Diceros bicornis minor: one gene and its partner. The protein of the gene in region 2 interacts with the protein of the main gene of each other region in a biochemical or structural test. Links are inferred from orthologs where the notes say so. Each region holds a gene or a part of one and is shown on either strand. Other genes may lie near its edges.

What was found.
Region 1: the proteins of VDR (region 2) and HR form a complex in vitro, tested with the Homo sapiens proteins (2 studies listed by BioGRID and IntAct). The link is inferred for Diceros bicornis minor from reciprocal best matches to the Homo sapiens genes VDR and HR.

The regions. Positions count from the first base shown.
Region 1 is NC_080750.1:71,720,280-71,735,963, reverse strand, and holds the start of HR (lysine-specific demethylase hairless), read right to left. Parts: upstream 7,863-15,684; 5' UTR 7,802-7,862; intron 6,542-7,801; 5' UTR 6,503-6,541; coding exon 5,891-6,502; intron 5,181-5,890; coding exon 4,391-5,180; intron 2,852-4,390; coding exon 2,701-2,851; intron 2,623-2,700; coding exon 2,435-2,622; intron 988-2,434; coding exon 820-987; intron 39-819; coding exon 1-38. Other genes in the region: protein HRURF, read right to left, coding at 7,973-8,077; REEP4 (receptor expression-enhancing protein 4), read right to left, coding at 15,421-15,486, 15,574-15,684. UniProt on the Homo sapiens protein: Histone demethylase that specifically demethylates both mono- and dimethylated 'Lys-9' of histone H3. May act as a transcription regulator controlling hair biology (via targeting of collagens), neural activity, and cell cycle.
Region 2 is NC_080756.1:22,010,793-22,025,768, reverse strand, and holds the start of VDR (vitamin D3 receptor), read right to left. Parts: upstream 7,147-14,976; 5' UTR 7,105-7,146; intron 1-7,104.

The DNA of each region.
Region 1 (15,684 bases), on a different chromosome or scaffold from region 2:
CTCCTGCGCACACTCCTCCGTGGACTGTTCCTGAGAGCCTGTGGGGTGGGAAGGGAGAAGCTGTGTCAGAACCAAGGTAACCACAGGCTAAGGTCAGGGGAGAAGGGCAAGGGCATGATATCTAAGTCAGGGGCTCGACAATCGACCAGACATGGGCTTTCTACGAAACTGGGTTCAGTAGTGACGTAGGATTCTCTGCTCGCAGAACGCAGAGACTTTAATATGCTGATAAGTGTTGCAAGACTCCAAGATGATCATCAGTGGAATACAGATGGAATACAGTGTTCCAAAACGTTTCTGACTCTGGAACTCTTTTTGGCCACGTGTGTTGGAACATTGGGAAATTTCAAGCCCTCAGGTGGCCAAGTTGAGCCAAGGGAGAGAAAGCTGAGAACCGTGAAGAGAACAGGACTTGGAATCAAAAGACCTGACTCTAAATCCTGGACCCAACACTTACTGTGTGACCTTGTACAAGTCACCCAACTGCTCTGATTTTTCTTATCTGGAAAATGGAGGCAATAATACCCAGCTCACAGTGTTGTAAGGCTTAACAAGGTGCAAGCTGAGCAAAGTGGGAGGCATAGGGTGGGCCCTCCACTTCTTTTAAGGGTGGGTAAGGACACAGGTGTGGCCTCTGATCTAGGGAGAGGGAAAGATCTGCTCTAAGGGGCATTGAGCAGTGGTGGCTGAGGTGGGGGCTAGGAGGGGAGGGAGGCTTTCCTGGGGAGAGGCAGCCAAGGAACGGCCACAAACCTTAGAGCAGCCCTTCCCAGGCCCTGTCCCTGCCCTGCCACCTTCGGCTCCCAGATGCTTTCCCACCTGCTCTCTCCCTGGCCCTCCCAGCACCCGCCATGCGGCCACAGGCCACACACAGCCGGTGGCTGCAGCGGGGGCATCTCCAGTGGGTGTTGAAGAGTCCGTGGTGGCAGCGGCTGCAGCAGCGTGGAATGCCTGGGCTGTCGTCTGTCCCGGCTGGCCCCTGTCCTGCTGACCGTGGGAGAGAGCAGGGTCAGAGGGGGCTCAAGCCACAGGCCCCTTTTGATGACCTCATGTGGGAGTCCTCCAGGCAGGGATGGGGAGAAGCAGGGGCAGTTTCCACCGAGGGGCTGCCCCAGAGGGGAGACAGGCCCCCTACAGACACCCTCACTCACTTGGCTGTCCCTGTAAAGAACCTCCCGGCAGCACCGTCGTCTGCAGCAAACCCTCCCAGGGACAGTGCAGGCCTCATCTCCCCAGTTCCTGCGCAGGGAGTCCCCAATGGCCCTGAATTACCAATCCACACCACTTCCAACACATCCCTTCACCACCTCCCTCCCTCACTCCCTCCCACGGTGGTCCTTCTTCAGGGGACTCTGTATGTCAAAAGAAGAAACCTTAGGAGGCCACTCCTTCCCTCACCCAGAGTTTCAGACTAAACTCTCACTGGTTAAGTGGAAGGATGCCAGCGAACACACATTCATTTACTCGTTCAACAAACACCTTGTCTTGTCCCGGGCTGGGTGCTGGGGATTCAGAACTGGTCAGGACTTGGCACTTGCTGTCCCAGCGCTCACATTCCAAGGAGTAGACGGACCCATAAACGTGGCAATGATTATGGCACCATGGGGTGGGTGGGAGAATGAGAACGGGATGGAAGGATGAGGGTGGGGATGTTGGGGCAGCTGCACAAATGGGCCCCGAGTGATGAGTAAGTTTTCATTCACCAGGTAGAACAGGAGGAGAAGGGCATTCCAGACAGTAGGAACGAGAGTGCCAAGGCCCGAGGGCACAGACAAGCTCAGGTGAGCCGAGAAGGAGGGCGGTGTGCCGGGAATCTGGGCTGAGGGAGTGGCAGGGGAGACGGGGCCAGCTGACGAAAGGGAAAGGGGCTGGACTTTCTGGGACAAGAGGGAGCTACCAACAGGCCCCCACCCAGGGAGTGACAGGACCTCAGGTGTGGTACTGTGAAACGGACGCAGGAGGGAGAGCCTCGAGCCAGAGGGACTAGCTAAACGCCTTGTGCTCCACCAGTCTCTAACCTCAGCCCAAACCCTACCAGCCTCCTAGGGCCGTGAGCCTCGCCACCCTGGACGCCTTCCTTATGGCACAAACTTGCAGGGAGCTCCTCTACCCTCGAGAACTCTTAGAGACACTTGGCACTCAGTCTTGTTTCCCCAGCAAGCCCAAAAGCTCTTAGAGAGTTGGGCTGGACCAGGTTTACACCTTCCCAACATCCCCCACCCGGGCCAGAAACTTCAGAATGTGTGTTGACTAAGAGCCTTAGCCGAGAATAAGGGCAAAGCAGGGCAGGAGCTCTCTTGAGTTGGCGGCTGGACAGGCAGTGCTGGTGGGAGGGAAGGGCCCACTCTCTGCTGGCCCATGTTCCTCGTGAAAGCACAGTGATCACAGGACCAGGCCCTCGCAGGGTCCCGAATGCCCTGTGGGTCCTGCTCACCTTCCCGCTGTGCCCAGGCCAGGGCTTCCCGCTCCCTTCGCAGCAGGCGGCACAATCGGTCCCCCAAACCACTTAGCAGGTGCTTGGCAAGGCCCGTGCTGAGCCGGGCCTCCAGGCCAGACCCTCCTCCCTCCTCAGAGCTGGCTGCCGAGTCTTCCTCCTGCTGCTGCTCCCCTCCCAGAGGCAATCTGGAGACAGGGCAGCGGAAGGTGAGGAGGGAGTCCTGAGTAGGAGGATGCTGCAGGCATCCAGGGGCAAGGGCTCACCTCGGTACTTGCTGGGAGTGGCAGGCCAGCCCTCCTGCCTCTCCAGCTGCCTGAGCACAGCTTTGGCACTGAGCAATGCTTGCCGGGGGAGCCGAGCAAGGTGTATCCTGAAGCCCTGGGTCCTGGAGGCTGGCCCTGCCATCTCGGGGTCCTGAGAAGACAATGTAGCTGGTCAGCAGTCTGGGCTCCCTGGGCTTATGCGAACCTCAGGCCCTGCCTTAGCACCCAGCCCGCCCACACACAGAGCCAGCCCAGTCCCTAGGCCCTGGCCTATGATGTCTGGTTGGGAACCAGCGACAGTGAACCAGGCAGCTAGAAGCCTCGTAAATAAGGCTGAGTGGGGAGCCTGACAGTGCTCTGACAGGGACTGCTGGGCCGAGAGGAGGAGTCTGGGTGCTGAGCCCAAGGCTGGGGCAGGTGGGGCAATGGGCCTGCCCCAAATGCAGGATCCAGCCAGTGCAGACTTTGGAGAGGTCCACCGTGGGCTGTGACACCGCTGGCTGCATGACAGCATGAGGAGACAATCCCAATGTGGACGGAAGGTGCCGGAAGGTGAGAAGGCTGGGCAGTTTCAACATAGGCCACAGGTGCAGTAACCCAAGAAGGCGGAGGGGCCAGCAACTTCCCAGCACAGGCAGGGGCCTGGGAGAGAGTGAACAGAGCCATGCCACATGCAGGGGTGCTTAGGCAAGGCCATCAGGAAAGGCCTGGGGCCAGCCTGGTGGCATAGTGGTTAAGTTCACGTGCTCCGCTTTGGCGGCCCAGGGTGCGGGGTTTCAGATCCCGGGCGCGCACCGACGCACTGCTTATCAAGCCACGCTGTGGTGGTGTCCCATATAAAGTAGAGGAAGATGGGCACGGATGTTAGCCCAGGGCCAATCTTCCTCAGCAAAAAAGAGGAGGATTGGCAACGGATATTAGCTCAGGGCTAATCTTCCTCACACACAAAAAAAGAGAGAGTGAGAGAGGCTTGATCCAGGCCCAGAAGTCCAGGAGGCCAAGAAACTGAGGTGATCCTGAAGAACGGAGGCTGGGGCCGGCAGTGCCAGAGCCCTCCGTGAAGGGCACAGTGTAACAGAGGGGTCCAGGATGTGCCCAAGGCCCTAACATTGGCAGAGTCCAAACTGAATTTCCATGATCCCAGCTGGCCAAGAGAGTAGTTCTTTGTTCCTGAGGCAGGACAAAGGGTCCTTCAGGAGACGCAATCCCCCAGATGGGGATTTGTGGCACAAATAATCATAAAGGTGAATGTTTATTGAGTGCTTACTAAGTGCCAGGAATCCTTCAAAGCCCTTTAGGTGAATTAGATCATCTAATCTTCACAGCAGTCTTATGAAGAAACTGAGGCCCAGAGAGGTGAAGTAACCAGCCAGAGGTCACATAGTACCGATCAGCAAAGTCAGGACTCAGCACTCTGACTCAGAGCCCATGCTCTTAACCATGTCATTATACTGCCGCCAACACATCATGGCTTCGGAGGAGGTGAATGGAAACAGACGGCACTTGGTGGAAGGCTCTGGCCTGTAGATGCTAAGGAACTCCCAGAGAGCTATCACAACTGGGAGGGAACTGGACAATGGGGTGTGATCCACTCATAATGGACCTACTGACCCCACCTCCCTGCAAAGCCCCAGTCCTGGCCGCCCCCTCCCACGTAGGGCCCCCTGCAGCCCCTCCCCCGCCCCCTTACCTCTGTGGTCATCACGCTGTTCTGCCTCCGCCTTGTTCCCAAATGACGAGTCCAGCACCTCCCGCCATCCTCTGGCCCCTTGCCCCGTACTGCCTGGGAAACGGTCAGGTGGGCGCTTGGCGGCTGGGCTTCCCACTGCTCCCCAGATCTCAGGGCTGCTTGCCCTCTTGAGGGCCCGCAGCTGGGCAGCTGGGCTCTCCTCATCCCCGGGGCAGCCGCCTGGGCACCCAAACTGCTCAGAGTGTCGTGTGAGCCATGTCTTCTTCAGCTTGGTGTGATGGCTGGGCAGGCAGGCCCTGGGACCAGGGTCCTTGTTTGCTTCCTCGCTGGATTCACTGGGCCCACTGGTGCTTGCCTCCAGGCCCTCCTGGCACTTCCCACAAGAGCCAAGACTTCCATCTCTAGCGGGTGGGCAAGATGAGCAACAGCCCACTTGGGCGGTAGGAGGCCCAGGAGAGGGGCACTTTAATGTGGCTGACGGCCCCAGCTGGTACCCAAGTTTCCCACCCCCTGGGACAGCCCAGATGTTGCCAAGAGTATGAACCAGGCCTGGGGGACAAGTGGGCCAGGAGGTCCCAGGAACAGTGTCTGGATGCCCGAGGAGAAGTGGGCAAAGATTCTGGTGCCTGCCGACTCCTGTCTCTCCATCCCTCTGGTGGAGTGAAGGGCGTTCCACCTCCCCAGTTCTCTGGAGATGCCCACCAAGGGCTGAGCCCAACAACCCAGCTTCTGTAGTTGGCAACGGCTCCTTTGCCAGCCTGAGAATGCTTGGATCCTTGTGGTAAAAGCCCTACAGAGAGGAGAAGGGATTAAGCCAGTGCTGATTTTGGTTCCCAGTGCTTAAAAGGATGAGTAGAACTGACCACCAGCAGGTGTGCACCTGTGTGGCCTTAAGGGTTGTGAAAATACCAAAGGACTCACATACTGGTTAATCAGTACTGCTCTCCTAAGTGCCTCTTCACTGCCCTAATGACCCCCAGACCTCCCCACAATCCAGCAACTAAAAGGCTAATGGCTAGCACAGCCAAAGGGCCTCTAGAATCTATTCAGATTGTCTGATGCCCTGTACCATACTGGGTTTTAAATATTTTAAATCTCATCCCTGGCATGAAGGTCGCCTCTGGGGGAGGTGCCGTAGACATAGACCATGGGGCCACCCGCACATCCCACTCCTGGAAGGAAGGCCCTGTTTGCCCTCCTCAGGGCAAGACCACATGTTCTGAGGCCCTGTTCCCAGGGCCTTGTCCTGGGCAGACAATGGGTGAGTCAGTGCCCGAAGAGGCCCGAAGGCAGGGAAGGCCTCGTGAGATGGAGCTGCTCAGGGGGGAACTGCCTGGGGTTGACTTTGTCTGAGCTGACAGGCTCCTCTACTGGGTGCTGCCTTATCTTTTCGTCGGAATGGACAGGCCGAGTGGCGCAGCCCTGGCAGGGCTGCTCAAGGACCGCTGAGCTACCTTGCGTGGCCTGAGCCCCAGGTACCTTCTCTGCTCCAACACTCACCTTGCTTCCTAAGCTGAAAGCAGAGGGCACTTTGGGCTGGTCCCCCAAGTACACCCAGGGGTGTGGAGCCACAGGCCAGTCACATGGACGTTCTGGTGGCAGGCTGGACACTAGGTGGGGTGGTAGGCAGGTGGGCACCCAGAAGGGGGCTCGCTCCAGGATCTTGGTCTCCAGAAGGAAGGGGCAGTGCAAGGGCCGGAAGGCCACAGTGTCACTCTTGGGATGGCCACCGCTATGCTCAGGAAGCAGGGGGCCACAGCAAGGTGGGGACGTGGACCCGCAGAATGCCAGGGGATGGGTGAGCACAGCTTCCTTCCAGCGCAGCCCCTCCTTGCCACCTGGCCAGCTGGCCTCCCTCTCCCTATTCTGGCGGCCTTCACCCTCCACCAGTGGGATCGTGTCCTTGGGGCTCTGGGGGAAGCCAGGGGGAAGCCAGGAGCCTGGGGTGCTCAGGAACCCCCTCCAGAAGGGAGCGGGCTCTCCTAGGCACAGCGTCCCACGGCGCAGGCTCTCTCGCAGCTGAGTATCCAGCTCCTGTCTCACGATGCCGTTCTCAGGGGCCGTCTTCTCCCAGGCCGGGGTCTCCTTCAGGAAGCTGGGCATACTCTCCATCACTCTCCTGCCCTCATGGGGCTCTCCCAGAGGAGGTCCCTGGAGCATAAGCACCAAAGCATGAGCTTCTTAGGCACGTGCCTCAAGCAGCCTACTGCCTGGTACAGAGTGGGTACCGCCCTGGCAGCACCCAGGCGGCTCAAACCAGTAAGGCAACTGCCAACCCACAGCTGGGCTCCATGCTGCCTGCTCACACGCAGCTTGAAGGACCCGCCTGGGTGGGATGCTCCAGTGTGGGGAAGTCACTTCTTCCCCCTAATGCCCGGGACTTGACAGCCCGCCTGGGCTCAGCAGAGACTGCCATTTCTAGGATGACATGTTCCAGCCTCGCTGAGCCTGGAACCTGATCAGAAGCCATGGGGAGGGACAGGGGGCAAGAACCCAAAAGATGAGCTTGGAGGAGGGCACTGCAGGAGGAGACAAGAAGGCTGGATCCTGGCTCTGACTCCGTCACCCACTACGTGACCTTGGGCAAGTCACGTCACCCCCCACGGCCTCAGTGTAAAATAAGCCCTGGAAATATGCAGTCTCAGAGGCTTCTTCCCACATTGCAGTCTGTGGTTTTGGGGCACTGCTTGCTCACCGCCACCCCTCCACCCCACCTAGGCGTGTAGGGGTGGGAAGTGCAGGCAGGGCACGCTGGAGTTACTGGGGAGAGGCTCCAGGCAGGGCTGCTGGCTGGTCTCTCTCCCTATACCTGGGCAGCCGGGGAGAGCCCAGGCCTCTTCCCAGCGCTCTACAGTTTCTTGGCTTCTGAAGCCGAGTCCCAGGACAACTGCTGGGAGCTGGGATCTCCACCGCAGCCCCCCGAGGGAAGGAGAGGTGATTAAGAGGCCTCCGCTGGGATGGGTCAAGCTGCCCCAGTCCAGCCGGCAGTGCCAGGGCCAATGGCAGCCGCTGGTAACTGCAGCCTGGCCGGGGGAGGGAAGGAGGCGGGGAAAGCGGGCTGGGCTCCAGAGAGAGGCAAAGGAGGGAAAATTGAACGTGCGTGCAAAGTACCAGGATGACAGGTGGCACCAGAGCCGCAGCGCTCTCAGCGAGGCGCCCTGGGCCAGCTCGGTGAAGCCCCAGAAGGGCGGTTAGGGAGCTCAGGGAGCCGTGATACAGGGCGCTCGCGTTTTCTGGGGCCACCGCTCCAACGCGATCCAGCCCCAGTGGGCATCCTAACTATCAGATGTGTGGCCCAGCCCGAGGAGCACGGAGAAGTCACTCCCTGCGTGTGGCCCGGGGTCGGCTCAAAAGTGCCCGCTACGAGTGTCCCCCAAAGGCAGGCCCCTTGCGCCCCCTCTCCGAGCTTACCCGGGCTTCACGGGACGGGCGCGGCGCCGGCGGCGGCGGTCGTCGTGGCCGGCGGGCGCCCGCTCCCCATGGACCGGCTCCGGGGCCTTCCGTCCGACGGGGGAAGACTCGTTCTCCCGCTCTCTGCTCAGCGCACTCGCGCGCTCTCTCCCCCGGGGCGGCGGGGGCGCTCTAGGACCGCAGGTTAGAGGGATCGGACTCCGGGATCTGCAGGATGCGGCACACGGCGCGGATCGGCCGCACCAGCTTCTGGGCCGAGGCCGTGGGTTGAGCCATGGGACGCCGAGACTCCGTGCTGCGCCGCGGGGAGGGCCGGGCCGGGGCTGGGGAGCGGGTGCCCCCGGAGGGAGAGAGGGAGCCGGGCCGGGGGGAACGCGCGCCCCGGGTTGGAGATGGCCGAGAAGGGGGAAAGGCCGAGGGGCCGGGGGAGGGGATTGTGCCTGGAAGGGGGGCCGATCCCGGGACCCAGGAGAGAGGCACCGGCGAGCGCGCAGCAGGGCGCAGCGCGTCTAATGGAGCGAGAGCGCGGCGGAGAGCGCAGCAGGACCTCTGATCGCCATCGCCAGACGCGCAACTGAGAGTGGGGAAGCTGCTCTGCCGGTTTCCTCCTCCAGCACCCTGCGGGAAACAGGAGCCCGTGATTCGGCGGCCCCGCCTGGGCCTGCCCCCTCCCGGGCCCTGGGGGCTTCCGCCAACGCCCCGGCGATGCCACCGGCTGCGCACAGGGAGAATGAGCCCTTTGTTCACCCCTCCCCCCCACGGCACCCGGGCGCCTGCCGAGAGAGGCTCCCCCGGGGCAGCGTGCCAGCTTCCCAGCAGCCCCACCCTCCCGTGGGCCCGGCCCCGGAGCCTGGCAGGCGGGCAGCACCCCCACTATAGGTGCCAAGCCCGGGAATTGGAGCAAAGGGCGGGAGGGGCCGGACTGGGCCACGGTGGGGCGGGGTGCCCCTCGGGGTGCTCGGGCGAGGCCCCTGGGAGGGGGCAGTGCCAGAGCTGGCAGGGGCAGTGGGGTTCTCGCGAGTCAGTGATGGGCGCTCTGACCCACACCAGCCGCCCCAGGCCTGCTGGACCACTCGCTCCTGGTCCTCTCCAGCTCTGGCACGTGGGCACACCAGGCCAGCCGGTGTCTACCCTGCCTCATCCTCACCTGACCAAGCTGCTGTTTATGTTCCCACCCAAGCTCCCTCTGGCCCAGTGGCGCAGTGTCCTGTGTTAGCAGTTCTGGCAGGGCCTGGGCTCTAGTCTCCCTGCTCTATGGGCCTCGGTTTCACCAAGTGTCTGGAAAGGAGGTGGGTCCTGATGAGCTCTACCACCTGCTCCAGCCCCATGTTCTGGGGGTCTGCCCCATCCTGTGTTCTCAGTGCTTCCAGGCCCAACATTGGAGAGGAGCCCATGGGAGTGGCTCCTGGGAGGGGACAGAGAGGAGGAGAGGAAATGGGAAAGCAGGGCACCCTCCACCCTCCACCAGAGGAAGCATCCTGGCTCCTCTGCGGGGGTGGTTCCACAGCACAGACACAAACAGACAGATTCTAACACACACAGACAGATTCAGACACACACAGAAACCCACACGCCCAACGGGTACTTCCCTTCCCCTCAGGCACCCACCTCCCACCCCGCGACTCCTCTGCCTCTGTGTGGAAGCCATCCTCGGCCTGCCTTCACCAAACCTGGGCAGAGGCAGCACCACCCCACCCAGCCCCATCCCATCGAAGGGATGAGTTCCCGGATGCCTCCAGCCTGGTCCCAGGTCACACCCCTATCCCTGGAGAGGGGAGCCATGAAGAGCCGTGAGGAGCCTTCCTCCCAAGAGACTGGAAAGGAGGCAGTTGAGGGGAAGAGGAGGGGTCCCGAGGAGAGGAGGCCTGAGGGGCTGGCACTGGGCATGACTTGGGTCATGTTGGCATAGATTCACCCAGCCCCTTTGCCTCCCCACAGAGGCCGGTTCTGTGGCAGGGCAGGCTGGTAGGGGTTGTTTACATGACTGAGTTATTAACACTCCCTTCCTCCCCCAGCTCCCCCGAGGGTGGCCTGGACCTGAATGTGCCAGGGGAAATAACTGTGGAGGGTCTAACACGGACTGCAATCCCAAGCCCCTAAGCCCCAGCCTCTGCTCCCAGGCCAGTTCTAGGGTTCAGATGAGGGGCTGGGGTGTGCCTGTGGTCCCCCATCTGTGTCCTCTGGCAGCAGAAGCTTGTGGGAGAGTGGGGGAGGGGGGTAGATTCCTGCCGCTTGGGGCCTACATGAGGCTGGGCAGGGCAGGATAGGAGCCTGGGCTGTCTGGGGCCCTGATGGCCTGTCACTATCATCCCCAAAGGGGATAGGGACTGTCCCGGGGGAGCAGGACAGACACCTCCCCCCACCCCACCCCCAGTTGCTCTGTCTGCTTTGTTAGGTCACAGTCTCTGGCCTAGACCAGGAATCTCAGGACAGGCTTCTGAAATGCCCAGGGGCCATGGGGGGTGGGTGGGCGGAAGAAGCCCCTTTCCATCCTCAACCAGCTCCCAATCCTGCTCCCCAGGCCACTGAGCCTTGTAGCCGGCTGTTCTGTGCCTGAAGACAGAGCAAAGCTGAGGAGACACACGAAAGACAAACACACAAGGAAAGCCACACATGCGTGGACACAATGCTGGATTCGTGGACCAGCAAGCTGACCAGCGCCCCCAGCCGCGCGTGGGCCCTTCCCCGGCCCACCTCGACCCCACCCCGACTCCTGGAGCGCTGACACACACACGCTAATACACACATTCATGCTGACACGCGCAGCAGCAGTCAGAGCCACTGCCCTGGCACTGTCCCCAGAGCCCCTTACCTGGGCAAGCACTGTGCCCCTCGGGTGGAGCAGCCCCCTGCCCAAGGGAGGGCAGCAGGCGGGGGCGGGGGAAGGAGCCCCGGAGAGTCAGGCCAAGCTGCCACTAATCCAGGCAGGGAGGAGGGGGGTACCCACGTCAGAGCGGGGACTGCCGGGTGGAGGGCATCTGAGGACATCCCCTCCCACACACGCGGCCGTCTGGGCACCTAGCCCTGCTTCCACAGCCCCTCCATCCTTCAGACAGCTGAGGCTGGCCTCCCCCCACCCCACCCCCCACCCTTGTGGCAATGCCTGGGGTGCGGGCAAGGGGGAGGGGGAGTATTGAGGGGAATTCTCCTAGGCCCTGGGGGAGGGGGAGAGGAAGGGAAGTGTGGAGATGCTCCTGGAGCCAGGAGGAAGCTCTGTAGCCGATGCCCCCTCCCCTCTCGCCCACCCAACCCAGGTCCCTGACCTAATTCCTCTTCTCAGTGGAACCTTCCCAGTGCCCCTCCTCCACCCCCCAACCTCCCCTCCCCTGCGATCCAACCACCCAGGCCCCAGGCCCAGGACCTTCTGCCTAACAACGCCAGCTCTGGCCCCCTGGATTTCCTGAGCAGCAGGCATCATCCTCCTGCCTGGATTCTGCCCCCTACCCAGCTATTGGCATGGCAGTCCCTGATGTGGGTGGGGGACAAGGGATGAGAGCCTGAGTGCTCATGTCCTCAACCTCCTCAAGGGTGGGGCAGTGCCAGCTAGGACTCCCCAACTCAGCCTGGGCCAGGGCCGTGTTTAAACAAGAAGCTAACTACATAGCCACCACTGAGAATAGCAGCTAAAAACACAGCAATGGGGCCAGCGCACGTGGAGGAGGCCAGGATATGGAGGGGCCACAGCCTGAGAGGGGCCAAAGAGGCAGGGAGAGAAAGGAGCCACCTGACAGGTCCAAGGGATGGTGGGCTGTGGGGAGGAGGGAAAAGGAAGGCTAGAATGAAGGGCCACCTGCACCTGGGAACCTGGGGGCAGTGGAGGAGGCCCTCAGAAGCAGGCAAGGCGGGTGCGGAGGCCGAAGAGTGAGCCCACAACCTGAGTGGGGCTGGTACCTAGGCCAAGCAGAGGTCTGTGATTCCAAGGGGGCTGGCCGAGGCTGCTTCATCTCCCTACCCAGTGCCCAGCCTGGAGCCTGGCACACCTGTGCTCCAGGCCAGTTGGAATGGAGGTCCAGCCCTGAGCCTGCCTGGGGACGCAGTGGACACACTGGAGGATAACAGAAGGTTGGAGGCTGTAGTCAGGCCAGAGCACAGCCTACCCTCCCCTACGGGTCAGGCCAGAGAGGATGAAGCCTGGGCCAGGAACCCCATGCAGAGGGAGGCAGTGCTGGGCAGACGTTTCAGTGATTCTCAAAGAGACAGGGCAGCCTCTGAGGGAAGCCCAGCCCACACCCAATGCCCCAGTCCCAGGATCATGTGTATGCATGGCCAGAACAGCCCCAGAACTTGGAATTCTCCTTGCCCCTTCTCCTCTGGCCCCAGGATGTCTCACAACCCACAGGACTGCAGCAGTCATTCGCCTGTGGTGGGCACCAAGGAGATGCAGGGCGCGAAGATGGAAGCACAGGCCGTCCCCGCCTTGACGAGCTTACACTTACTCATGGATTTGTTCTTTTACCAGCAAACTGTCACCGAGCCCTCTTAGGTGTCAGGCCCTGTGCCAGGCACTGTGGGGTGACTACTGGAGTCAGGCAGGTTAACGAATGATTACAAGGTGCTTCTAGTCCCACCCTGGGGAAGGCGGCGGAGCCTCACGGAGGAGGTGATGCTGGAGCTCAGAAGTCAGAGAACAAGTGGGCCATCACCAGCCACACATGTACTACAGTTTCACTTTGGCTAAACCAGCATTTGTTCCAGGCTGGAATACAAGTGAATAAGGTGCAAGTCTGTTCTTCATGCAGTCACAGTGCAGTACGGGAGAAAACACCATATGCTCAAGGCAGAAATGGGTCCGTGCAGGGGCAGAGGCGGCGTGGTCTGGATGAGCAATCAACGCAAGGGGGCAGGGGAGTGCTTACAGGAGGGCTTCCTGGGGGAAGTGATGTCTGAGTGGGGTTCAAAGGGCAAATAGGAAAAGAACAGTTGGGTGGGGGAGGAAGAGCATGCCAGGGGAACAGCATGAAGCCACGAGATAGTGGCGATTAATGAGGTGGGGAACACGGAGCAATTCACCTGCGGAGGAGGCCAGTTGGGAGGGGAGGGAAGGGCGATGGGCACACCAGCACAGCCCATGGCATTGTGTGCCCTGGACAGGGTGAGCAGGCCAGAGATCAGGAGCCTTAGGAGCTTGAGGAGGGGTTGACAAGTCAGGGAAGGCTCAGAGAAAGCAGATCTTGAAGGAAGGCCAACGGGCCTGGAAAGAAAGACTGTTTGGAGGGCAGGAGACTCATACGGCTGGAGCAAAGGCCTGGAGGCTGATGCTGGGATGATTGTGCTGTGCTCAGGAGAGAGATAGGAGCAGCGTGGCCAAAGGAGGAGCTATGGGGCAGCAGGGGCAGCAGGGCCAGTGAGGAAGCTGCGGGGTGAGGTGGAGATCACGGACCTGAGGAAGCATCACCAGTTCAGCCCTGGGGCCAAGTGACCCTGGGAATGAGGGCAGGGGAAGCCCTAGCTTCCATGGAAGTTCCCTCACCACCCCACAACTTCAGGCCTCCCCCCAGCTCCCTCTTCCTTTGAAGTTTTGTTTCATTCTGCCTGTTCATCACACGCTCCTCTGTTTTGTTCTCCCAGTTCAGGGCTGTGGATCTTGCCATTCCACCTCTATCAAGGCAACTTCTGGACAGGCTTGCATCAGGAGACAGGGCCCCGACTCACAGGCAGCACAACCGTGGACAAGTTGCTGCACTTCTCTGAGTCTCAGTTTTTCCACCTGTAAAATGGGTATAACCCTACCTAACAGGCTTTTTGTGGATAATTCAAGGAAATTATCTCTGTAAAATGCCCAGCACAAGGTCATGCACACAACCTATGTTTGATACATGCTAGTCTCTTTCTCCTTGCTTCCCAGGCAAGAAACATCTCATTTACTTTAGTCCTGCACAGTGGTTAAGTACACTGACTCTGAAGCCAGACTGGCTGGTTCAAAGCTTAATTCTGCCACTTACTAGCTGTGTGACCTCAGGCAAATTACTTGCCCTCCTGGTGCCTGTTTTCCCATTTGTAAAATAGAGATGATAATAGTACAGACCTCTCAAAATTGTTGTGAGGATTAAATTAATATGTGTCAGGGGCTTAGAGCAGCACATTCTTGGTGCCAGCCGTTACTAGACTTTGCATCCCCAGTATCTCGAAACATGCCTGGTACCTGGTGGACACTCAATAAGGATGTTTCGAATGAATAAATGAAGAGATAAGGGATGCAAGGGAATGCCAAGAGAGTAAGTCATTGACCACCAACATGTGAGGAGCTAAACCACCGGGGCAGATTAAGTGCCTCCCCCAAGTGAAACCCAGATAATCCCCACACCAGGAGTTAATCCACCCTCCTGAGGCCACTCCCGGTTACCACATCCAGGCGCAGGAGAGGGCAGAGCCGGCACCACTGCTCCAGGAATTAGAGGAGGGGATGGAGTGGAGCCAGCCCAGGCCAAGAGCCTGGGTCTCAGGAGAACAGAGGAGACTCATGGATGGGGCAGGCTGAGGACCGATGACCACGAGCAGCAGGGAGGAGCAGCAGGGAGGAGCAACGGTGGGGGCGCCATTGGAGGCTGGGTCAGAGTTCCCCATCGTCCCTCCAGCCAGCCAGTGGCCAGGCCCCTACAGGGCACGGCTCTGGCCAGCCTCCAAGCCCCGCCCTCCTTGACCTGGAAGCTGGGGGCAGCCCACACCCTGGCAGCTGCTGCCCTCTCGCGGCTACTCCACAGACATGCAATGCTCCCAATGTTACTTGCGTGTTTACAGGAACTCAATGCTCCTCCCCCACAAAAGCGCCTAGAGACCCCCCTCAGGCACATGGAGGAAATTGGGCTCCCCAGGCCTAATCTGAGCACAGATCCAGCTAATCCCCACAGGATTATCATGCTGCCTACACACCTTCGCTCCCACTGGTTTCTACTTCCCGTCAAGGTCCAATCCTATCTCCCCCTGACTGCGGTCTTCTTAGACTCTGATCTCTCTCAGGGCTGGGCCCCGACTCTCCCATCTGTGTTCTCAGAGGTCTCCGAGAGCTTTCCATGACAGTACTTGCTGCATCACAACTATTTTGTCAATGGCAATCTCCCCCAGAAGACTGGGCCCCTCTGGCAGTCTGCCCCTTTAGCCCCGGTCCTAGGCCGGGACTGGCCTGTAGCAGGCTGTTAAATAACGTGTGCTGTGAGGACTGGGAATACAAACCAGGAGAAACAGAACACTTTCATGTATTTAGTTATCAAAACCTGAACAAACCTGACCTCATCCACCAACACAAAACATACAACCAGGACACACACACAAGGCCTTGGAGAAGGCTGTCAAGTACTTTGAAGGACAGGAAGGAATGAACAGAGCTGGGTGGGCTTTTGGTTTCATTTGCAGGGTCTGGGGAGGGCTGTGGTCCCACACCTGGGAAGGTAGAGGAATGAGAAAGGCAATAAATAGAACCGTGGTCCCAGCCTGCTTTGGTACATTTGGGTGCATCCCCGTGCATGGCCCCGACAGCACCTGCCTCTGGGCCTGAACCAACAGCAGGAGCTGGGAGGGCAGAGCCTGGGCAGCTGGTGCAGACAGGCCAGACATGCAGCCAGAGGTCCCCTCCAAATAGCCCTCAGCACCCTGCAGGGCACGAGGGCCGGGCTCTGCAGACCCTAGCTGTCCACGTCTGAGGGCATGGTCTTTTTCTTTGTCCGGACCTTTAGGGAGCGTGAGGTGCCCTGGGGGAGAGAGAGCAGGCACACCATGAGAGGTCTGGGCTGAAGTGCCAGGGCTGCCGCCCCCCTTGCGTCTTCCTTGCCACTGACCTCCCGAACCAGCGGCTTCTTCTTGCTCACACGCAGGCTCTGGCTGCGGCTCAGAGGCTTCTCTCGGTGGGGCCGGGTTGACGGCTGAGGGACTACCTCTGTATCCGACCA
Region 2 (14,976 bases):
TGTGGGCATTCTGCTCCTTTCCACACAGCACCTCCCCTGTTCTTTCCACCCCAACCCTCCAGCCACCCCCTGCTTCTCAGATTGGACAAGCCAGAGGGTCAAAGAACAAGGCCAGGCTCCGAACAGTTGGCCAGTGGAGACTGTTAAACTTCAGTTCACCTCCCTTGGAGCCTTTAAATGATCAAGAAGCCCTGGACAGATGTACATCCCATCACTGGCTCTGGCCCCACGTGCTTTGACTAGCTGGCAGACACACGGTTCTGGTACTTTCATGTCCTTTCCTCAAAATCGGTGCCCAAGGAAAGTATACATCCCTTCCAATCCACTTGGCAAAAATATACCTCTGTGGGTATTAACTGAGTACCTAGAATGTGCTCAGCACTAACACCAGGCTCTTTGTTGAAACGAACAGAATGCCAAGTGTGGGGAAGCTGTGTCACCAAGGGATCCCTCACCCACTGCTGGTGGAAGTCCAGTGAGGAAGGGCTTCAACGGCACCGGGAGACCCTGCACAGGGCTCTCAGAGTCAGGCAGTGGCGTGTACGCAGCCACCTGTACACAGCACATCAGACAGGTGCACACGTAAGCCAGAAACCAGGTCCCTACGTGAAGGACAATGCAATTACTACAGCTGAAACGGGCTTTAGAAACTCATCTAGTACAACTTGTTCATTTTAGATATGAAGTCTATATCTATTGAATGACTGTCTGCACATGCTTTTCAAGGGCCTCCTTTGTGCCAGGCATTTGACTTACATCATCTCTAACCCTCACGCAACTCTAAACCCCCAGTTTACACATAAGGAACCCGAGATTCAGAGACATTAAGAAACTTGCCCAAGGTCACAAGCTAAAAAGTGACAAAGCCAGGATTTGAACCCAAGTGTGTCTAACTTGAACCCCGTGTTTCTCCTATTCCACCAGGCCGATAGCACAGCTTCTAACAGCACTGCCTAAGATTTCAGTCATATACCAAGGAACCCTGGGAACCACAGCTGAGGGACAAGTCAGCAGAGGAACAAGCTAAGCGTTTCCTCCTCCTACCTCTGTCTCTTGGCTCTGGCACTTGGAGTGGCTTGTACGGTCAAGCCCAACACCAGCAAGCAGTGTGGAACAGTGGTCACGGGCTGGCTTTGTTGCCATGGGCAGGTTACTGCATCTCTTTAAGCCTTGATTTACCCATATACGTGCTGGAGAGAACAACAGTAACTTACTCCAAAGAGAAGCTGGGAAGATTAAAGAAGACAAGTGATCAGCACAGCACCAGGCAGAAGCTCTCAGATGAGGCTCGAGTCCATTTCTCCTTCCAGGTGGCCTGGGCTCAGGAGGGTTCCTGAAGGAGTAGCCAGGAGGGGAATACGTAAGCAAGGTGAGAATAGCTCCAGTTGGCCAATGGGACCATGGCTTTTCTTCCTTGGTGCACTTAGCATAGCAGGTTATCAATAAAGTGGCTTGTTTGAAACTGAAAGAGCGCTTCTTATTTGCCTTCCAGACCATTCAAGTCTTCTTTGATGCCATGCAATCTCTCTGCACAGAGCTACCTCTCTCAGGTTCTTGTCTATTTTTGCCTGAGTAAGGTACCCCAGACTGCCGGAGAGGTACTGAGGCCTGAGGGTGCTGGCAGAGGGAGCCTTCTTCTGAGAGCCCACTGTCCCTGGAGTCACATGTGGGCAAACTGAGCTTGCTCCCAGGCCAACTTGCTCAAACTAGTCAGCAAATCTAACCCTGCTGCTCACAAATGTTTACTGCAGGCCTATTATGTGCCCTGATGGTCTAGTGGTTGAGATTCCACGCTCTCACCACTGCGGCCGGGGTTTCTTCCCCGGTCAGGGAACCACACTATCTGTCTGTCGGTTGTCATACTGTGGCGACTGCATGTTGCTCTGATGCTGAAAGCTGTGCCACCAGGATTTTAAATACCAGCAGGGCCACCCATGGTGGACAGGTTTCAGTGGAGCTTCCAGATTAAGACAGACTAGGAAGAAGGACCTGGCCATGTACTTCTGAAAAAAGGGGCCATGAAAACCCTATGAATAGCAGTGGAGCATTGTCTGATACAGCGCCAGAAGGTGAGAGGACGGAGCAAAAATACAGCACAGGGTTCTGCTCTGCTGTACACAGAGTCGCCGGGAGTTGGAATTGACTAGATGGCACTAACAACAACAAAAATTGTGTGCAAGTCATGGCCCTAAACGCCCTGTGGCCACCCGTGAATGCCCATGAATGCAGACGTGGTAGAGTTCCACAGAGGTTAAGACAGACCCAAGCGAAAGTCTTGACTCTCCCACTCGCCAGCTGTGTCACCTTAGCACGTTGCTCAAACCTCACTGAGCCTCAGTTTCCCATCTGTAAAAGGAACATAACAGTGGTTCCCATCTCACCAGGATGTGGCAGGTCTGGGTGGCCACGTGGGCCATGTACTCAGCACGGCACCTGGTATAACTGAGCTGAGCATTCAGTGAGTAGCTGTTCCTGGAGCTACAACTCCAGTGCCAGCAGGTGGCACACACTGGGTGTGTCACCAGCAAAGCCTTGGGCCTCCTGGGTGCCCCACAGTGCCTGGAATGTCACATCTTGCATAACACCTCAAAGCTTCAATCTGTCATCAGGAGGCCAGTGAGAGGCAGCAGCTTCCCAGGAACTGGCTGCCGGGTCCTGCCCAAACTCCACTTTCCCGCTGGTGCAGCTGCCCACGCCCTGCTCAGGACCAAGACTCTCCCTGTGCAGAATGGGGACTTTGTGTGGTATCCGATTCTGGGAACACTGCTTGGTCTATTCCTTGGCGTGGGACCTGCAGGGCAGGTTTGCAAAAGCATGACACACACTCAGACTCCCCAAGTGCCTGCTGCTTCTACCTCTTGCTCCCGCCATTTACCGACCAGCCACCTCCTCCTACCCCTGCCAGCCCAGGGGGTCTCTCCCCTTCCCCCTCCCCACAAGTTACCTCAAAGGGCGAGACTTCCCAAGAAGGCTTCACCTGCCCTTTTCATTTGTTGCTGATGAGAATGATTTCCTTCCTGCCACAGCAGACAGAGTCATTACGAAGTCATTAGAAGATTCCACCTCACCACGCCCAACACCCCAATCACTCACACACCCGACCTCTGGGGACTCTCCAGGGAGCCTGCCCCGAGCATCTGGACCAAGAAGACCAAGGATTCAGAAGGGGGGCAGTTTCTCTTCCACACGTCACCACGGCAGGATGCAGTTGCTGCCACCAACGCCTATAGCTTGGGTTGAGCAAGAACAGTCTGTCCCCACCCTGGACCATTTCCCCAATAGTCCGACCAGACTGGAGAGTCAGACTCCAGTGTCCAAAGGAACTGACCCCATCTGCTGCTAAGAAGCTTCTCTCTGGCTCTGACCTCCACTTTGCTTAACATTTCCCAGGAACCCGATTACAAGTGACCTGTGCCCTTTTCCCACATGGGCGAGGTTTGACTACCTTGCCCTTCCTGGTTGTTTACCTGCTTTAGAGCTGGACTTTCTTGGGGGATGGTGTGGCCCCCAGAGGTCTGGAAGCTGGACAGACAAAATGAAGAGGCTGCAGATATGGGGAAGAGGGAAGAGGAAGCATGAGATTATGTCTTGGCTCCAGTATGAACCCCAATTCCCCTAGGGGCAGCTGAAGGGGAGCTGGCAGGCCTTCCTGTCCCTGTCTGAGGTACGGGTGGGGCAGGAAAACCAAAGGCGAGGCCAGTCACTAGTCAAGGGTGAAGGGAAGTCGCACGAGCAGTAGGCTGGGTCCTGGGAGAGAGTGGCTGGGAGCAGCGCTGCCCTCAAGGATAAGACTGCAATTGGCTGCACCCCAGGGAGCAGGCTGGGGTGTTGAGGCTGCCCTCAGAATGAAGCAACCCCCATCTTCCCCTCATCATTAAGCACTACCCCCATCTTCTTCTCCTCATTAAACCCACACCCACCCATCTTCTCTTCATCACTGTGGCCTCCACTGGGTTTGGAGTGGTGTTCACTAGAATGACTGAATGTTCCAGTTTGCTCTGGACAGTTTTGGTTTATCTCTAATGTCCCCACATAACTATAAATAGCGTCCCCTTTCACTCTCAAAAGTATCCCAGTTTGGACAATAAATTAGATGGTCACTGTCTCTAGCCCATCTAGGAGGGCACTGACACAGGAGACGTGCACGGAGGAATCAGAGGAAAGCATAACTAAAAACAACGCCCTGAAGGTCCAGAGCCACAGCCAGCAGCTGTGTCCAGCTAGATCCTCTCAGAACCAGACAGTAATGGAGAGAGAGCCCGAGAGTGCTGCCCACCCTGGGGTTCAGACCGTCTCAGGGGAAGAGGTCTGGTCTCGTGGGTTCTGCTTCCTGTCATCCCTCGGAGGGCCGAGCACCATGCTGGGCATACAAGACGCTCCTAATCAAATCCCATTATTTCCTTACTTCCCTCTTCCTGCTTCCAAAACAGACTTGCAGCAGCTACAAATGGAAAGCTGGAGTCCTAGAATCATCCTGTCCAGCAACAAACCGGCATGCCGTCCTACCTCAGAGTCTCCAGTGCCCCTGACTCTGACTCTCCAGCCACTAGAACCCGACTAGGCCACGGCAGGTTTCTAGCAGAGGTTCCAGAGGCAGCTCTTGACCAGGAGGTCGCTGCCCCCATAGGATGTGGGGTAAAGAACTGAACGACTGGGACTCCCTGTCCTGTCTTGGATAGCCACTTGGTCTGGCCCACTAGGCCCCAGGCCTTCCTCCAAACATGGAAGACATTGGTTTTGCACACTGGCTATTTGTTCTGAGAGTGGAGGGTGGGGGTCCAAGAGGTCCTCTTGGTGCTTCCTCCAGGACTTAGTTCTAAAAAGAGGATCAGTCTGAGGTTGAGTAAGGGGAGAAGACTGAGAAACCATAAACACAAATCACCAAGGCACCCCAAACAGCACCAGACTTTCCACAATTTTTTTTTGTGTGTGAGGAAGGTCAGCCCTGAGCTAACATCCATGCTAATCCTCCTCTTTTTGCTGAGGAAGACTGGCTCTGAGCTAACATCTATTGCCAATCCTCCTCCTTTTCTGTTTCCCCAAAACCCCAGTAGACAGTTGTATGTCATGGTTGCACATCCTTCTAGTTGCTGTATGTGGGATGCGGCCTCAGCATGGCCAGAGAAGCAGTGCGTCGGTGCGTGCCCGGGATCCGAACCCGGGCCGCCAGTAGCGGAGCACGCGCACTTAACCACTAAGCCACGGGGCCGGCCCTCCACAATATTTATACAAATGACGAGTGACTACCTTAGCTGAAGAACTGAGAGGGGTCGAGAAAGCTTCCTAACTCTCTTCCTTATCCCACTCTCCAGTTCTTCCTTTACCCTGGAAAGGGTCCAAGTTGTGGCTGACCAGGGACCAGCCAAACCAAAGCCATGGGACCCAGCCAGGGCACAGACTGTGAATTCCCCAGCTTTTTACAGTTTGAGTCAGCTCCACAGCCTGGTTGTGGATTCTTCTCAAATAGGTCCAGAGAGGCCACTGAGTAGGGGGCAATCAGCTCTGGGGCTCCTATTGCTGCTCAAGGATCTGAAGCACCCAAAACAAAGGCCAGAGAAAAATTTGCAGTCTTACTACCTCCTGGTCTGGCTGCACATCAGTCCTGACACCATTTCAGAAGGACCCACAACCCCCTCCAGCACTTGGACAGGGACCGATTGAGGAACGTCCCCCAGCACAAAACACTCTCAGTTCATAGAGTTGAGGATCTGGGGTCCAGATAATCCATTCCCGCCTTAGCAAACCACCCCCACTTCCTAGCCTGAGTTAAAAACCTTCTTTGCCAACACCATGGCTTCCCTAGTCCCAGAACCTTCCCGATTTCTTGTGCACAGCCACCTCACTAACAGACGTCGGCTGCTAACAAGATCACTCGGCAGAAATGGAATGAGGGGCTGGAAAATCTGCAGTGCTGGGATGCCCCTCCTGATCTTAGGAGAAGGATAAGAGATGTGGATTTACCACAAAGCCATAATCCCTTCACACTCAACCTCTTCTGGAATCATACCATAGCCATCCCATTATCATTGCCATGTTGGGTGTCCCCTTCAGGAGTGGCCACACCAGCCACGAGGAAAACGGCCTTCCAGCAGGGAGCAGAAGCAGAGCTGAACTCTGCCCAGGAGAGCTTCTGCAAAGCTCAGAAAATGCCTGCCCAACTGCTTGCCTGGGCTCTGGCCCCTCTGGCTGCAACTGAGCCCAGACAGGAGGCTGACTCACTCACCACATGGAGGAGGAGGAAGAGGAGGTGGAGAAGGAGGAGGAGGAGATGCGGGAAGGGCCCGGGCTCAGAGACCCAGGGCTGTCCCAGCCCAGGCAGCCTGGGTCTCAGCCTCAGTGGTCCATGGGGGGAGGGGGGCCAATGTCCACTGCTCCCTCGAGACAGCATGCTGTTCCCTCCTAGATACTTCCCCTGAATCCTCCTCACCCTCCACCCACAAAGGTGGGGTCCCTCACTCCCCAAACAGAACTTACTCCCTGAGCCCCTCCTTGCTTAGATGCTTGCCCCTGAGTTCCTCTGGACATCTAGGGACAGGCTCTCCTGAAAAAATAAATCCAGTGCACTAGGGCCAACTAGGTCTAAAATCATTAGTGGTTAAAAAAAAAAAAAAAAGAAAAAAGCTCTACTTAAAAGATCCAACTCTACCATTGCAAGTGATCATCCTTGGGTCCTACGAAATAATAAGGCTACACACACTCCACCCCTAGGACATCTTAGCACCATCGACAGCCAATCTCTCCCTTTCTCTTCCTCCACTCCATGCCAGGGCGCCCCGACAGAGGAAGGAAACAAATGCTTCTTGTTGCCCAAGTGCTGGGAAGTGTGCTAGTGGAGCATTTCTGCGTTAGGCTGCCTGAGCGCGGAGGAAGTCGCTGCTCCCCTGGCCAGCCTGGCTCGAACTTCAGCTCTTTCTCAGACCTCGGTGTCCCCTCAGTGCCCCAGCCTCATGGCACGACAGCCCGGATCTCAGTCGCCAAGTTTGCCCCTGCGACTTAGATTCTAGTGTTTGCACCCGGGCACTCAGGCCCACTATCCCCGACGCCCCCAGCCCGGGCCCAATCCCGAGCCTGGGACCCCCTTCCCCGCCGCTCCGGGGTCCGCACCTGGTCTGGCGGGTGGGCACGCTGCTCCGCGCTGCTGGCGCCTCTGGCTCGGCTGCTGCCTTTTGACAAGCAGAGACAGCCCAGCACCTGGCCCCGCCCCTTGCAAGGCCCCGCCCCTGGTCCCGCCCCTTCCCTGGGCCCCGCCCCCAGGTCCAGTCCCAGCTTGCCCGGCGCTCCAGCCGCGCTGCAACCATCTTGACTTGGAATCAACCACTGCACCGTCGCCTGGAGGCTCTGCCCGGTGTGGTCCTCCACGACTGCCGTCCGTAGGGCAAGGCAGGCTTCTGCCCTCCGTGCATGAGAGTTTTCCATGGTTATGTGTGTGCAGGTCCATGCTTCTGCCTGCGTTGATCCGGGATGCATTCCTATCCCCCACCCCCACACCCCATCCCCGCTGCCGTGGTTCTACCCAGCCTGCTGCGGACGCCTCTTCCAGGTGTGTCACCCGCACCTAGGCTGACCCGGCCAGGACTCCTCCGTCGTCTGGGGGGCGCTGGGGTGGCGGGCGGCTGTCGCGGACACCAACGGTTCCCTCCGCGCTCGTGGGAAATCCCGGGCGCCACTCGCCGCCGTGTTAATGCTACAGAGCGCCAGGGAGCCCAGCCCGACCCCACACGCTAGGATAAAAGAGTAAACGGAAAACGGAGTCTGAAGTTGCGTCATCGCCCCCGCCCGATGTCCTCTCGGCCGCGATCGTGGCTGACCACGTTCCCGGTGCGTCGCGAACCTCATCCAAGCGAGCACAGTCTCAACTTCCCCAGGCCCTGGTCCCCAGCCCCCCCCATCCCCCTACCCGACATGGGTGTGAAGAAAGGAGGGAGGTAAGGAGTACATCCTGAGACCTGGAATTGTAGGTGGATGCGGAAAACTCGCCATAAAAAATTTTGGCTAAAAATTACTCTACTCCAATTGCTTCCATGGCAATGTACTAGGCACCACTCTAGATGCTACAGGATAGATGAAAAAGACATGGTTCCCTCCTTCTTCCACCTCATTGTCCAGTAGGAGAATGTATAAGTTTTAAACAGTGCTTACAACATAATGTTCTACAATGGAGATGCCCACAAGGTCATCCAGCATTGGTGACCTCCTTTAGGCAGGGAAGATATTGCCATTCACTTTTTACAGAAGAGGAAACCATGGCTCAGAGGGACAAGCTAAATAGGGGGAAATTGAGGCATAGAGAGGTTAAGTGATTTGCCCAACATTACACAGCCATTCAATGAAGGACAGTACTAGAGCCCAGCAAGTCCGCTGGTGCCCTGGCCTCTGAAACAGTTATGCTAGACTGTCTGATAACCAGTCCCTCTCAAACTCTCAATAATCGGACCAAGAGAAATGGACTGAAGCTAAACAGAAGGCAGAAGCTTCAAACAGTGAAGTGTGTTAACCACTGAAACAGTTCATTAAGGGAGTAGTGTGGAAACTGTCTCTCTGGAAAGGTTTAAGAAAAATAGAAGAGACACAGATTGTTTGATTGAACTTGGGAATGGACCATCTATTCTGAGCAACAGATGAAGGACGTGCCCCTTTGGAGGTTCTGTCTGTCTGATGGATGGATTCTCTGCTTGTAATGAAAGTAAAAGAAAAAAATCCCCTTGCCCAAAGCATCACGGGAAAGCTAGCAGTGATTCTCATGGCAAAAAAAGTATAAGAGGAAATCTCTAGCAGTCAACACCTCGGGACATTCTCAGGAAGTTCCATGAGCCTCTGTAAGAGGTTGATCACTCAGGAGCCACTTTTGTGGTGCTTAATTGGCCAGATGGGTGACCCAGGCATCTTAAAAATAAACCTTATCAAAAAGTAGTAGAGGGGGCCGGCCCGGTGCTGTAGTGAAGTTCCCATGCTCTGCTTCGGCAGCCTGGGGTTTGCAGGTTCAGAACCTCGGGTGTGGACCTATGCACCGCTGATTAAGACATGCTGTGTTGGCGTCCCATATATAAAATAGAGGAAGGTGGGCACGGATGTTAGCTCAGGGCTAATCTTCCTCAGCAAAAAAAAAAAAAAAAAGTCATAGCGGATGAGTACTAACTATTCCATGGTAACTGACTGTTAGTGTCTTTTCACAGCTCTCCATTTGATGTCCATCATGACCTTTTGAGTCAGACGGAGTAGAAAATACTCTCCTCATTGTACCACTGATGTACAGAGTTGTTGAAGTTCTTACGGCGGGAGAGTGACAGAGCCACTTGAGCCCAGGACTTCTCTCTGCACTTTCCACTGTTCCATGCTGCCTCCCCCCCAAAAAATATTTCTTTGGGCTTTTCACCTGTTGGACCACAATCTAGGTAAGCAAGCTTTGGAAAACTCAGAGGTTCTGGATTTGGCAGATTTGCAGGATATAGGTTTCATTACAGCCCCTAGCACATGCTGTCATCAGCCCCATCCCTGTGTCCTTAACCAAGTTCTGTTCATCTTCCCCCAGTACCTGAGGGGAAGATGAACTGCTCTCTCTCCTCTGTCTCTCCAGACCCTGTTCTCTTTCAGGCCCTGTCTATCACATCAGGCCTCTCACCACATCTCCAGGCCAAAATGACCTGTCAACTCTCTGGTCTTTGTAGCATGTGTTGTCTATATTGCTTGGTTTGTCACCTAATAATGAATCATCTTGTATTTATATTGAACAAAGGTAGATTTTTCACTTCAGCTTTATTCTTAGGAAGAATTTTAATTTTGTGAAAGTAGAGAAGCAGGAATACATGAGATTCACTTCTCCCGCTTTTGTTGTTATTACTCCCTGTCTCCTGATCTTGCTTCTCCCTAGCCAGGGACTGGGAAGGGAGGTTGCTATCCATATTCTGTTCTTGTGAAGACTTTGATGACAGGCAGCAGTCCTGTGCTACAGAATTAATAGCTTTCAACTCCTCTAGCTTGACTGCTGCAGGACACATGTACCAGAACCTCTGGAAACACTCATCTTCTCTTTCTTTTCCCTGAAGTTAACAGTTCTTGTTTTCTCACTTGTCCCTGGGAGGGGTGGTGGTCCTTATAGGATGTTCAGATTGTGTTTTTTGTCAGTATTCATCTCTGAAAAATTATATCAGGGAATATCTACTAGGCGCTTGCGGTGTGTAGGATACCATGCTATAGACTCAACAGTCTGTGCAGAAACAAAAGAGCCCTTCCAGGTGTGACCTCCCTAGGAGGAGAGATTCCAGAGATGCCAGGCTGAGTCCACCCCTGTGCACTTCATTTCACAAAATCTGGGGAAAGGCAGAGTCTGGCTTCTCAGCCTCTCTACCAGGCTCTGGGTGCCTGCGGGTGGCCTGGGCAGGCCTGCAGTCAGGCCACAGGGCTGCACCTTATCCTTAGCAGATGAGCTCCTCTTTTCTGCAGCCTGGTCACTGTCCTCAAGGCTGGCTGGCACCCTCAGAACCTCTTGCCATGGTGCCAGAGCTGGAGTGGATCACCTTGTCCCTGTGAGGTTCCCGGAGACCCTGTCCCCATGGACAGAGGTTTATAAGCTCTCCAGAGGCTGCTCTCCAGGTAAAAAGGTGCCCTTTGAGCTCTCTCTGGAGCACTCCCATCTAACTGTTTGCTTTTCCCTTTTTTAGGGCCTTTTTTTCTCCTTAAATATTTTATGGTTATGGGCATGGTGGGAATGAAGGGAAGACTCTAATTCAGCAAACTCCCAAAGAACATTCTGAGAGACACAGAGTCATGGATTCATAGAGACAGAAGCCACCAGGCCGTCCTCTCAGTCAGTTCCCTTGTTTTAGAGATTAAAAAAATATTAAGTCCGGAAAGGTTAACTTATCTATCTTTTCTAACCCCTGTTAGGACTGTTCTCTCTGCTTATGTTCCAGATGGTGAAAGTGGAATGAATGAATGGAAAAAACTATAAGCAATGAAATCAACCTAAACAAAAGGGTCTTCCTAGAATAATGTTTTTCAAATTTTTAACTGTAACCCATAGTAAGAAATAAGTTTTTATCATGATCTCGTATACCATGCATGTATATAAATTTTATGAAACAAGAAATGCTCTGTGAGGTTTTTTATTTTATTTTATTTTTTTTATTTATTTTTTTTTTTGTGAGGAGATCAGCCCTGAGCTAACATCCGCCAATCCTCCTCTTTTTTTGCTGAGGAAGACGGCCCTGGGCTAACATCCGTGCCCATCTTCCTCCACTTTATATGGGACGCCGCCACAGCATGGCTTACCAAGCAGTGCGTCGGTGCGCGCCCGGGATCCGAACCAGCGAACCCCGGGCCGCCGCAGCGGAGCGCGCGCACCTAACCGCTTGCGCCACCGGGCCGGCCCCTGTGAGGTTTTTTATTTTGTCTCCTCCTTCCTTCCTTCCTTCCTTCCTTCCTTCCTTCCTTCCTTCCTTCCTTCCTTCCTTCCTTCCTTCCTTCCTTCTTTCCTCCCTCCCTCCCTTCCTTCCATCTTTCTTTTGGGGATCCACCAAGTTGATTTCACAACTCACAATGGGTTGTGACCCGAAGTTTGAAAAAGTCCCTCTCACCGTGGGAATCCTCTCAATTAGAACCTGCAACATGAGATTCCCAGACAGGCCTTCGAGAGACCAGCCTCACTTACACAGAGCACCCTCAGAACCCCGTAGTGGCTCCCTGGCTTTGGAGGATCCTGCCTCCAAGGCGGCAAGGCCAGGGTTGGTCACTGAGGCAGTATGTGTCCACTCAATGTTTGCCTGTGTGGCCTTAACTCAGCTGTTATCTTACCATGCTCTGTATTCACCAGCTTGGGGGGATTCTTTCAGCCTCAGGATGCTTCATGGCATCTCAGAAATCCTGACTTCTCAAGAACGAGACAGCCCTAGGAGAGTTGTGTGCAAGGCCATAAGAAGTGAATATCCACAGACTCAGCCTGCCCCAGAAAGAGTAGGGCACCGCCGGTTTTTCAATCCAAATCGGCCTGGCTCCAGGCCTCCATTCCCGGTGGCCCAGCTCATGTCTCCCTCCTCGGGGCTTTTGGCACTTGTCTTTCCCACCTGCTCCCACATCCTCGAGCCCTAGGCTGCCAGCCTGCTGGCCCACACACAGCGTCTGCAGGCATGGTAAAGCAGAGCCTAGGGGCCAGACAAAGGAAGGTGTAGACTCCCCCCTCCACCTCTAAGCAGAAGCAGCTCCAGAGCTCTCCTAGGCTCCCAGGTATTTGCTGGGCTCCCATCCAAACCCCAGCAACAATGATGACTCTTCCAGCCCCAACTCCAACCATAGAGATCCATGGAATAAACAAGAGGCTTGGGGTTCTTTCTACATCTATTGCCGTGGCTGTAAGTTTTGCAACAACTATGACTCCAGTAGGAGATAAAGTGACCCCTAACCCTTGGGGAATTCTTATTTTGCTCTTCTGGGGAAAAGCGTCTTATGGGAGAGCCTAGGGAGGGAGGTAAGTGGAGAGGCTCTGCGGCATGGGGGTAGGTACCCTGGGCGCTGATTACGGTGCAGTTAATGTCACATCACTGCTGAAGAGGTCAGTAGGGAAAAGCTGACTGTTTTCAAAAGAAGCCCCCCTTCCCCAAAGGAAAGTCTCCAGGGAAGATGATTAGGCAATGATCTCCTTTCTTCATACCAATGAACAGAAGCCCTGCAAGCCTCATCCTGGGCACGCCTGTGTCTTTCTCCAGAAGAACAGGAAGGACACTCCGTCAGCAGCCCAGGAATGCGTTAAACAACTCTTCCCTGGGGCCCCAACTCCAGAAGATGTGGCTGTTGACAGCTCTTCTCCATTGCCTTTGGCCTCTAGCCTGAGATAAACATACTACAAAGCACGGATGCCCCTCTCTGTTGTGTTTGCCTCCATTGTCCTGTGTTGTGAAAGATGTCACCATTGTCAAAACTGTTGTTTTTGGTGTCCACCTCCACTTCCAGCGGGGTTTACTCTGGAGTAAATGACAGTGGAGTTGTGTTGTTTTGTATCATCTACACATCCCAGAGCCAAGAAGTGGTCTCTAAACTTGATTGATTGTAAAACTCTACTGGCAAAAAAAAAAATTTGAATATGATTTTCAAAATTCTATCATTAGCTCATATCTCGTCATACTATACAGTTAGGGTGAGATTCCTCATTAACATTAATGAATGTAAATTCATATTTCAAATGATGTTGTTGATACTTTTGCAACTTTTTACTGACTTCCCTGACACTCCTTCCTCACACACAGAGACCTCATCCAGCATACCTGACCCGTGACTTTCTGATAAGAGGACCAAGTGAGGGTGCTGGTGTCAGTCTGTATATTAAACATATTAAAGCTTAATTTTTTTAAGACAAAAAAACAAATCAAAAAGGAAGCCTTTGATACTGTCCTCCTGTACCCAGTGGATCATGTAACGCATCCTCCCTTGCAGACCTCAGTGGGATTTAGACCCAGAGGGTTCAGCAAGTTTAGGTGACCCACCTACGTTTATGATTGGTGAGCTGCAAAGCAGGGACTAGAAACCAAGTCTACTGCCTTGACATCCACGTCTCACTCTTTCCATCACCCTGAAACTCCTCTTCCCTCTGCTTCGTGGAGAAATGGAAGCACACTGTGTATCGGTGAGAATCTCTTGAAGGCTGAGAAGCTAAATTCTTTGACCCGCTTGGCTTATTTAAGCAGAGCCTGAGGCGAGGTCCAGGTAGAATTCCACTATGGTCTGTAACTGGGACCACAGCTGCCAATAGTCTCATGCCACAGTCCCCCAACCAGATTCAAGGAGAGAGGCAAACAGGACAGGCTCTCTGAGCAGTGGCAACCAGCAGGAAAAGGTGTGGTGGCCATTTGTGGGTAAGCTTGGCCACCACCAAGGACCTTCCTTCAACCCACATTCTCGAGGAGAGTTGTCGCTCATTTGGGGTTCCTGGAACCTGGGGAGGAGGGGTGTCCAGCTTGACTGACCTCTGAGTGGAAGCTGCCAAGCCCAGAAAGAATGTGGCGAAGAGGCCTGAACCATCAGGGGTTTCCATCCCTTCTTCACAGGCCCTACCTCAGTGGAAGGTTTTAACCTTTAACTCTCCTTCTGCCAACTCTTCTTCTCTGTCTGAACAAGCCAAGTACTCCCTTGAACTTTCTTTCCTGCCCTCCCTCTGCTCCCCAGTGTCCCTCACATACCTCTGTACCTTATTCATCACCAGGCTCCTCATCTGTCAGGTGCTGGGAAGTTTAAGGGCCATCCAGAGCTGATGGTCAGGAGTCTTTGACTTGGACCTACCCAGGTAGGAGAATAATATCCCACTTGCTGACACTCCCCCGCATTCTCCCTGCCTTTCCCTCTGATGAAACCCAAAATGTGCATGAGGATGGGTCGAGAGAGAACATTTAAGCAAGTAGTTCGGGTGCCCCGTCATGAAAATGCCAGCTATTGGCTCCTTGCAGGGTTGGGATGGAGATGTTGAGCAGGGTGCTGTCCTTGAAGTAATCTCGATATCCCACTTCCCTGTCCCCTTTTTTTTCTTTAACAATTTTATTGAGGTCATACTGGTTTATAACATTGTGTAATTTCAGGTATACATTATTATATATCAGTTTCTGTTTAGACTGCATTGTGCTCACCACCAATAGTCTAGTTTTCATCCGTCACCATACATATGTGCCCCTTTATCCCTTTCATCCACTCCTCCCACCCACTTCCCCTCTGGTAACCACTAATCTCTTCTCTTTATCTGTGTGTTAGTTTATCTTCCACATATGAGTGAAATCATATGGTGTTTGTCTTTCTCAGTCTGGCTTATTTTGCTTAACATAACACCCTCAAGGTCCATCCATGTTGTTGCAAAGGGGCCGATTTTGTCATTTTTGTGGCTGAGTAGTATTCCATTGTGTGTGTGTGTGTGTGTGTGTGTATATATATACCCCACATCTTTATCCATTCATCAGTTGATGGGCAGTTGGGTTGCTCCTACATCTTGGCTATCGTGAATAG